Linked DNA regions of Coturnix japonica. The protein of the gene in region 1 purifies or fractionates together with the protein of each later gene. This does not show direct contact. Links are inferred from orthologs where the notes say so. Each region holds a gene or a part of one and is shown in the gene's direction. Other genes may lie near its edges. The genes, in order: EXOC6, EXOC7 and EXOC3.

Region 1 (3,659 bases):
TGAATTCATCTAAACATATTTCAGACTTTTGAAACTAGAATGATTCCAGTTCATAATATTTTAACATTGCACACGTAAATGTAGTAGTAATTTGTATATTCATTAGTATGCTTTATTATTGTAAAATACTATTAATAAATTAAATATTCTTGTTTTTTCGCTTTATTAACTAATTTGCCAGGGATATTTTTGAAGCAGATAACTACAGCCCTATTCCTGTAGCAAATGAAGAAGAATACAAAATAGTTATAAGCAAATTTCCTTTTCAAGATTCAGAACTTGATAAGGTAAGGAAAAGTTTTGTTATTAAGATTTGCCAAAATCCAATTCGGAATGGTTAGAACAGAAATTATATTTCTAATTAGAAAGTAATTAAAAATAGAAAAGCTTGGTAGATTAAGAGTGTAATTATGTATTCATAAATAAATAGGAAAATTAAAGCTCTAATCACTTGCTCTGATGTTTGAGTGAATAATGAGACCTACTGTTTTGTAAACTAATAATTCATTTTAATCAATCCAGTCTTTATTTAATGAGTTAACTTAGATTTTGTTGCAAAACATTGGGTTTTGTAACCCATGGTATGTTGTATGCTGTGGTTTTGCAGCAATGCAGGTAATGATCATCAGGAATGTATTAGAGATAGCAACTTCATTATTTCACTTTGTAAATTAGTTATTTATTATCTGAATATGTGGGACAAAGTAGATATGAAGAGGCTGTAAAGAATTCTGCTGTACTGACATCCCAGTGGGATATTCTTTCTTAGCGTCAGCCATTCTCTCTAAAATTTTCTTTCATGGAAGGGTGATTAGTATGTTCTGCCTTCTGAAAGTGGTTTTGATGGAACTGATCAAGTAATAACAAACCCATGGTAGAATTTACATAAGGAAATTAAAGCACAGTGAGAGTAGTTGGTGTAGAGGGAAGCTGGTTTAATCAAGATGCACTGCTGCAGATACCTACCTGAAAATGGAATCTAATTTTATGATTCAGCAGGAAGATAGCTGATAGAGAACAATCAACACTCCAAACTTTAATGTATTTAAACGGATACAGAAATCAGTTCAATACACACCACAGAATATATTTGGTTTAAAATGGAAAAACTTATGATAGGTGAAATATTGGTAAGTGATTTTCCAGTATTTAATACCAATCTCTCCTTAGAATCAGAGGATTATCTTTATTTTTACAGCAGTCCTTTCCAAAGAAGCTCCCGATGTCTCAGTCAGTGCCTCAGATATATATCCAGGTTAAGGAATTCATTTATGCAAGCCTTAAGTTTTCAGAATCACTTCACCGCAGGTAATCTATAAGTACTGTGAATGCAAATGAGTATAAACTATCCCATAACTTCCAGGTAAACTAATAATTTGTATTAAATTGAAAATAGGTTTTCCTGGGTGCTTACTTGCTTTGTTTGTTTCTTAAATTACATGTGTAATTTGTTATATTTTATCTGTGATTCCCAGTGCTATGATATATATTTCATGTATGTATATACATGTAGGTATGGAATGCATGTATGTGTAAATGAATTTTGCTTAGTGTAGTGAACACACCAAAGCAGCATTAGGGCTTTTTTAACAGTATTGACTGATTTGGATAATCTGGAGATTTTTTTGTTGTTGTTTAACAAAGCCTGTATACTTTAATAATTATCATTTCAGAAATAATTGTGTAGCATCCCTGATTACTTTAAACACCTTACAATTTTCACTGCTTTGAGTTTCCCTAGTAATTATTTTTCCTGTAACACAACATGCTGTCTGCATGCTAATTCCCTCTTCTTTCCCACCTTTTCCCAAAGGAAAATATAACATTTCTGACATCTCCTGTTTTCTTGTGAAGCTTTAAAGCTCAGTTATAATTATGTAAAATAACGTGGCAGGTCTGAAATCTGGGAGTTATTTGTGACTGCTCACCCACTTCTGCTCCGTTAAAGATGTAAATGAATTGCTTTCACACGTTCTTAATTGTTACTGTTTATAATTTACACGTACTAATTGGTGCATGTTGACCTCCATGGTAACTCATTACAAAACACAAATTACTCCTTCCTAACTGCTGTGTCAATAAACACGTCCAAAATCTAAAAATAACAGGTTTTCTGCAACGTTGAAATGTAGTTAATGGATAATTTGGTAAATGAAAGAGGTGTTTTGTGTTAGATCACAGATGGCTTGAAGCAACCAGAAATTCAAGCACATGGATAATTCTGAATACTAAAAGTTCTCTTTGTAAGGAAGAAATAGAGTTTTACTGTCAAAGTATTGTCATGTTTTAAAAATGTACTTTTATTTCAGCTCAACGGAAATAGATGACATGCTTAGAAAATCAACGAATCTGCTGCTAACAAGAACTCTCAGTAGTTGTTTACAGAACCTAATTAAGAAACCTCACATAGGTTTAACAGAGGTAAGTTTTAAAATACTCACCCAGAACTGCATTCTTGTAAGGAAATTGGTGCTAAAACTATTCTTGTAAATGTGGATATTATATAGTATTGAGATTATGTAACGAAAATAAGTAGTGCTTACTTTAAAATTGAAATTTTAAAGAGATGAGGAATGTATTAACAAAAAAAAGGGTCAATGGCTGTGACATAAACAAAAACAACCAAACAATCAAAACCAATGTGGATCTAGTTGGAACTGAAGGATGATGCTTGTGCTACTGGAAGGAGTTAGACTGCTGCCATGAGTGCAGTGCAATTTTCATGTTTAGTTTTGCTTTAAAAATGGCAAGGATCTCTTGTGTAAATGAAATAAAAAGAAGATCATGAGGAGGGAAAGGTTCTAATTTGTATATTGACACACTTGTATGCCAAGCTATAAAATTATTCTGAGAAAGTTTTCTACATTCTTGAAATTGGTACAGAATATGAAAAAATCACTAATATTTTTTAGGTATTTAAATATCAGGATGGTATGTTATAATAAAAAAGTTTAAAATACAAAGCTGTTACTTTTCCTAACATTAGATTAGTGTTCACTAAAAGGTACTGGAGCCAGACTGCAAGTAGTGAAGATATTAGAAATCATACACCACTGTTTCAGTTATTATGCAGCATCTGTGTTGTGTAATTTATGAACTGAACATGAATGAAAGTCCTGCCTATAAAAAGATGTAAATAATATCAGTATCGTGCATATTTATTTCTAGAGCAGTATTATTACCATTTAGGGGGGGATGCAGTCATATATTTGAAATTTCCGAACTTCTTACTACATTGCTTTTATGTATTGATGTATTTATTTATTTTAATTGCAGCAATGATGTTTGCTTTCTTGTTTCCTTGCTTTTGTAGTATGAATTAGTGATTTAATTTTGGCAATATGTTATCCTTTATTTTCCCCTTTTTTAAATTCTGAAATAACAGTTGAATTAATTTCACTGGGTAGATATCTACAATCTTCATTTTTTTTAAAATGGCATTTGTATGTAAACTGTGGCATTACTCCTTACCGGTATTTGAAAGCTAACTTGAATGTTGTCAGTTGATAGCTGATAGCCTGAAATACTGCAGTAAACTTCTGGCAACACTGTTTCTGAAAGAAGCCCCCATTTACAAAAATCAAATGTCAATGAATAATAGAAAAAGGCATTTTATTATAATTATTTGTTTCTTGTAGCTTGTTCAAATCATCATAAAC
Region 2 (3,659 bases), on another chromosome or scaffold:
TTGCTTGTCACTTGCTGACCAGAACCTTTAAAAGATCATCCCGAGGTACCTGTCAGTGTTGCTTCTTTCTCCATCTATAGTTGCTGATGCTGCTGGCAGGAGGGAGGCAGCAGCCTGCAGCTCAGAGAAGGCCTCTCTGCATTAATTTTGCTGTTCTATAATGGTTACTACAGGAATCTGAGTTCTGCAGGATGATGTGAGTCCGTTTGTGTCTGTCCTGTTGACAAATCCAGCCAGTGGCTGGCATGAGTTGGTGTGTGCCTTTGTATCTTACTGGCACTTCTTATGCCTCCTCTATAGGTTCCTTGCTGGGTCTTGACACATTCATACTCTTTGAATTTGAATATTCACATTTGTACGCAACATTTTGTGGCAGATACCTCACCTAACTGTGTCTGTATTCCTGCTTCATAGGTTTTAGTTGTCCTTCTGCCTGTTGTTCTCTTTAGTTACTGCCTATGGGAAGAGGCTGCCTTCCAGTACAGCCTTGATTTCCCAGAAATGCGGATGCAGTGTGCCAGTTCTTCATCTACCAGACAAATGGGGATAAGGAAGCCTAAAAATACAAGGAGAGGCGCTGAATAATTCACCTCAGACCATCCTTAGTGTAGTACTCTTTGTTCAAGCCCTTGTTTAAATTAAGTTTGCATCCCAGAAGAGTTTCAAACTTGCCTTCTGTCACGAGGCTGGGAAGAGTTGATGTTATCCTGCTGTGTCAGTTTCTTGAACCACAGATGACTCTGCATGCCTCCTTTGGGGTGTGCAGAGCTTTCCATGCACAAACCAAGGGGACAAAGCCAGCACTGCTTGTTTAAGAAGAACTGTGTGCTTTTTGTGTAACCTGAGGCCTTGGAGCGAGCAGAGCTGCTGGAAGTTCAGTGCATAATTGGTTCTCTTAAAAACATCTTGCCCTTACAGGGAGGGATGATGTGTTCGACATCGAGATCGATGCCTATATTCACTGTGTGAGTGCCTTTGTCAAACTGGCCCAGAGTGAGTACCAGCTCCTGACAGAGATCGTCCCAGAGCACCACCAGAAGAAGACTTTTGATTCCCTCATCCAGGTCAGTTGGGCCTCTTGCCTTGGTATCCCTTATAAAGAATCCATACAAATTCTTTTTCCCTGCTTTTTCATTACGAGGATGTGGATTCTTCCATCTGCTGTGGATGACCCAAGAGCACCAGCACTGTTAATGCTGTCTTCCCAGACCTGTGCTGGGAACCAGTGTGGCTGGTCATAGAGAATGTGTGCTCTGTGTCTGGGTACCACAAGTGACCCAGCAGCTAAATTTACATACTTGATGGGTTCTGAGCAGCCCCTTATGTTGCTTGGGCAGAAGCCACTGCTTACTTCTGACTGTCTGGCTTTGTTACAGGAGTCATTAGATAACTTGATCATGGAGGGCGATAACATTGTCTCAGCAGCCCGGAAAGCCATCATCCGACATGACTATTCAGCTGTGCTCACCATCTTCCCTATCCTCAAGCACCTCAAGCAGATGAAGCCAGAATTTGACCAGGTCTTGCAGGTGAGTACGATAGGAGTAAAAGCAATCGTATGACTATCAATTCCTCTGAGGAAAGCCTGCTTGGACCATGCCTTGAGGTGATCCAGGTATCAGACATGGCATCCAGGTTTAGCAGGGCTCTTTTCCATCTGATTCCAGCTGGAGCTGATGACTGATTCACCAGCCTGCTCTGTTAGGTACTGCACAAGAAGAGATACAAGAGAGGGAGCAAGTCCTGGTTGTCATTAATGTCACATCATCTTCCTCTCCTGTCACACCAAAGAGTGCAGGATTTCACTCATTGTTGATTAGGGCTATCAATATTCTTTTGATATGTGGTGAATGAGATGATTGGGTATGGGGGGAAAGAGAAGAATAGGTGCTGGACAAAGGGTCAGTTACTGCTCGTTTTCTTTCTCTGATCTGTTATGGGACTATTTCAGGGGACTGCAGCAGGCACAAAGAACAAACTGCCAGGGCTGATCACTTCCATGGAGACAACTGGTGCGAAGGCACTGGAAGAGTTTGCTGACAACATTAAGGTAGGATTACCTTTGCTGTTCTCTCTAGCAAGACAAATGAGTTTAGAAAGGGAGGTTTTATGAGCAGAACTCCCAGCTGAGCTTTTCACTTTCCATGAATGAGAGCACCTACTTTCTGACTCTAAAGCGAGGTTCTGCTTGCTGGATTGTATTGGATGGTCAGCTGCAACTACTGAATGCTGGCTGCTGATTTCAAATACAAGAGGCCTCCACAAGATATTCAAGTCAAATGTCAGAATTTAATCCTGCTTGAAAATAAGGGAAAATTGCTGATTTCAGAAGTTTTGGAGGACTCTGGCTAAACTGTCCCTTTATCAGGTGGGGTTTGGTCATTGCAGTGACCTTTAAGTGAGCTGAACTTTTGGTCGTGTCCTGAACAAAACCCCTGTGATCCTGAGCTGCCAGAGTGTACTGAGCACCAGGAGGTGGCACTGTGAGAAACAAGTATGGAGGTGTTGAGAGGCTAAATGAACAAGCATACAGCTCGCTTGCAGCAGTGGTTGTATTGTAGATGCCTTCAGTTTCCTTACGTGCTCACCATATGTTTCTTTCTTTCTTCTTAGAATGATCCAGACAAGGAATATAACATGCCGAAAGATGGGACAGTTCATGAACTCACCAGCAACGTATGTGATGATGATTTGAATCATTTGTAGTCAAAAACAGCCCCTGAAAAGATTTTAGGGAGAGCAGCGGGGAAATTTCTGGTTTTAAATTAAGCTGTCTTGGTGTTAGAAGGGCAGTTAACCAGCTTCCATGGAAAAAATTAGCTGGTTGCCTATTCTAAGATGTGATGTGGTTGTGTGGGTAAAACCCAGCAACTCAAAAGAGCACAGTAATCTCTTTTTTGAAGGCTTTTGAGTAAGAAGAGATGTGTTCCTTCATGATCCTTAATAGCAGAGCATAAAAACAATTGACTGTGTTTCCTCACTTCCCTTCCTCTCTTCCAGGCCATCCTTTTCCTACAGCAATTATTGGATTTCCAGGAGACGGCAGGTGCCATGCTGGCATCTCAAGGTACATGCATGGGGTTTATTTGGGCATGCAGTTCCTGTCCCAAATCACCTGGACATGTTCCCTAAAAAGATCAAACCTCAGCGTGCACTGTGTGAACTGGTTCTCCTCCTGTCCTTTGCCTTATGGTGTGTCCTGTCCTCCAGTCTGCCATGACCATATAGTTGGTTGTGTGGAGAGCTCCAAGTTGTGCAGAGCATTTCTCTGCTGGCCTTCCACATTTGCTTTTATCAGGTACTTATCAGATTGATTGATACTGTAGTGTTGAGAGAGGATGCCTTAGAAAATTAGCTCTAAATCTGACACAAAACCAATTCCCTGTGACTGTACTGAACAAGGTCCTCTTTTAGCTGTAACTGGACTACAAGGTGACTAATTACCTTCTTTCTCCGCCACATTCTCTGGTTAGAGTACAACAGCAGTACCAAGAACAGTCTCCTCAGTGTCCAGCCACTGTCAGGTTGGGACTCCTGAGAGCTATTCATGCTCAGGTGAGAAAAGTTTTAGCTCTGCTCTTGAGGTCGCTAAAGAAACTAGTTCCAGAAGGAAGTACATATATTGAAAGCTGAGAGCACTGGCCTCATGCAGTGATGCT
Region 3 (2,727 bases), on another chromosome or scaffold:
AACCACAGCCTAACCAGTACCCTAACTCTAACAACCCTACACTAAATCATATCCCTGAGCACCACATCCAAACGGCTCTTAAACACATCCAGGGATGGTGACTCAACCACCTCCCTGGGGAGCCTATTCCAGTACCTAACTAAATTAATATATTATATTAATATACTATCTGTATTAGTGCAAACCATTTATAAACCATATATAAACCATATATAAAGCACAACAACGTGTTTCAAAGCCTAATCATTGCACAGAATGGGGACTTTGGTAGTTATCACTGGCATAAGGCTCCTCTTCTTTCTTTCAGACGATGACCATGGAGGCCCATCGAAGGGTGGTTGTGGAATACATCAGGGCCATCATGTTGAAACGCATCTCTTTCAAGAATGCAGAAGAGAGAAAAGAGGGTGCAGAAAAAATGATCAAAGAAGCAGAACAGTTCAGATTTCTGTTTAAGAAACTCACATCTGTAAGTATTTGTTTCAACAACAATGTTAACTTAGTAATGATATCTGTGGGTGGGAAGGAATAGGGAAATGCAGAAGAAAAGAGCCTTAATATGACAGTTTGCAAAGGTTTTTGTCTTAATGGCTAAAGTTTCCACTACTGAGGGAATTTAACAGCATCGTCATTATTATTTTTATCACTATTTTCCAGGGATCTGGAGAGGACACTGAAGGACTCTGTGATATCATTGAAGCTATTGCAGAGGTTATCAAACTAACCGATCCTTCCCTGCTCTATCTGGAAGTTTCAACTTTAGTCAGTAAATACCCAGATATCAGGTAATTCTCTTTGCCTTCAAAGTTAAAAAGAGGTAATACAGTTTCTTCTTATCAGTGGGATAATTTGAAAACAATGTGTAATATGTTCATATCGATCATATTTGGAAATGTAGATGCTCTTTCCAAATGATGCTAATCGCAAACGTACATGTCTTGGACTAGGAGGTATAACACAGTATCACACAGTGTCACAGTCTCATGTGGGTTGGAAGGGACCTTAGAGATCATCAAGTCCAACCCCCGGGATTCGAGCCTCTGTGTAGCAGAGCGGCACTTCTACCACTTGCGCCACAGGGGGGATTCAAACCCGGGCTCTGGTGTTGCAAAGTGGCATTCCTACCACTGTGTCACCGGGGCACAATATGCGTTTAAGTACTCACTGGTATGGCAAAGGAATAATGGGAATATTCCTGTTGCGTCTCGGGAGGATGAAACGCATCTTAAATTCCTAAGCGTAGTCAAAAATAGTGCCTTATAGGTAGCTGGAAACACCAGTTCTTTGTGACTCGAGATCTGATTATGAATTAGAGTCAGTGAAGGATGATGTGTGATATTTCCAATGCAGTATTATTTCCGCAAGAGCTAATGCCAGCCTTACCTTTGCGTTTTGGCAGGGATGACCACATTGCGGCTTTGCTGACGGTGAGGGGAGATGCCAGCAGAGATATGAAGCAGACTATCATCGAGACTTTGGATCAAGGGCCAAGCCAACCCAACCCAAACTACGTGCCAATTTTTAAAGAAATTACAGTTCCTACTCTAACTGTGCCGAAACTACTTAAGTAATGGACAGCTCTGTTCATGTGTGGGATCCCACTGGTGTGGGATTGATGGGTGTGAAGTATTAGAGGGCAAGTTTGGCAGTGCTATTTCAAGTAACATTCGATGCACACTAGATCTGTTTCTTTCTGAAGATGTGGAATATAATGAGATTTCTACAGGTGCTGATGCTGCTGTCAGCAAATACATTTTGAGTCGTGAAATGTGGCATTGCAAATGTATAAAGATACTTACACTGAAAATAACACGGCTGTGGCAGTGCTGGGTGTATATTGCTGTCCTAGAGTCATCGTCCCATGGCACAGCATTGGGTGTACATTAATGTCCCCATTCCACTCCCACGTTAAACTTGGTGTATGTAATTACTTGGGTGTAAAATAGTTTATGGCAAAAACCTTAATTATGGAGCCAGCTTCCTGGCCACGGGACTGTAGAGGGAATAAATAAATAGCTAAAAACAGCATGAGGTACAATATGTCTTTGTGGATTCACTAAAAAGAGCACACGAATCATCACTTGTTCAATAAAATGCTGGACCATGGCCATGTTCTGCTGTGTGTGCTGTGTTTTGGCTGAGGGGGGGGATGAACTTTTACATAGTGAAAGGTCTGGAGCACAGGCCTTATGAGGGGCGGCTGAGGGAGCTGGGATTGTTCAGCCTGGAGAAGAGGAGGCTCAGGGGAGACATTATTGCTCTCTATAACTTCCTGAAGGGAGGTTGTGATGAGGAGGGGCTTGGCCTCTTCTGCCAGGCAACAAACAGGACCCGAGTAAATGGCCGCAAGTTGTACCAGATGAGGTTTAGATTGGATATAAGAAGGAGCTTTATCTCTCAGACAGTGGTCAGACACTGGAATGGCTGCATAGGGAGGTGGTGGAGTCACCATCCCTGTCAGTGTTCGAGAGGCATCTGGATGAGGAGCTACGAGATATGGTTTAGTGCTTTGCTGTAGGTATGGTAATGGGAGGGCGGCTGGACTAGGTGATCCTGTAGGTCCTTTCCAACCTTATGACTCTATGTAAAAGCTGATTTTACATAGACAGTCCAGGGAAGCCGCGGGTTCCAGGCCGGGCCCGCACGGCCTTAGGAAGCACCGGCTTCTTGTCGCCATGGTGCTTCCCCGCTTGGCGCTGCCTGCTGACATCACCCCCGCCCCGCTCG

What was found.
Region 2: the proteins of EXOC6 (region 1) and EXOC7 purify together in Homo sapiens (affinity purification with mass spectrometry; 4 studies listed by BioGRID and IntAct, counting the BioPlex papers as one, with this or other methods). This does not show direct contact. The link is inferred for Coturnix japonica from reciprocal best matches to the Homo sapiens genes EXOC6 and EXOC7.
Region 3: the proteins of EXOC6 (region 1) and EXOC3 purify together in Homo sapiens (affinity purification with mass spectrometry; 6 studies listed by BioGRID and IntAct, counting the BioPlex papers as one, with this or other methods). This does not show direct contact. The link is inferred for Coturnix japonica from reciprocal best matches to the Homo sapiens genes EXOC6 and EXOC3.

Annotation. Positions count from the first base shown.
Region 1 is NC_029521.1:17,890,437-17,894,095, reverse strand, and holds part of EXOC6 (exocyst complex component 6), read left to right. Parts: intron 1-181; coding exon 182-287; intron 288-1,198; coding exon 1,199-1,308; intron 1,309-2,309; coding exon 2,310-2,421; intron 2,422-3,638; coding exon 3,639-3,659. UniProt on the Homo sapiens protein: Component of the exocyst complex involved in the docking of exocytic vesicles with fusion sites on the plasma membrane.
Region 2 is NC_029533.1:3,930,085-3,933,743, forward strand, and holds part of EXOC7 (exocyst complex component 7), read left to right. Parts: intron 1-918; coding exon 919-1,064; intron 1,065-1,376; coding exon 1,377-1,529; intron 1,530-1,951; coding exon 1,952-2,050; intron 2,051-2,613; coding exon 2,614-2,676; intron 2,677-3,000; coding exon 3,001-3,067; intron 3,068-3,659. UniProt on the Homo sapiens protein: Component of the exocyst complex involved in the docking of exocytic vesicles with fusion sites on the plasma membrane.
Region 3 is NC_029517.1:80,101,392-80,104,118, forward strand, and holds the end of EXOC3 (exocyst complex component 3), read left to right. Parts: intron 1-307; coding exon 308-469; intron 470-657; coding exon 658-785; intron 786-1,399; coding exon 1,400-1,571; 3' UTR 1,572-2,106; downstream 2,107-2,727. UniProt on the Homo sapiens protein: Component of the exocyst complex involved in the docking of exocytic vesicles with fusion sites on the plasma membrane.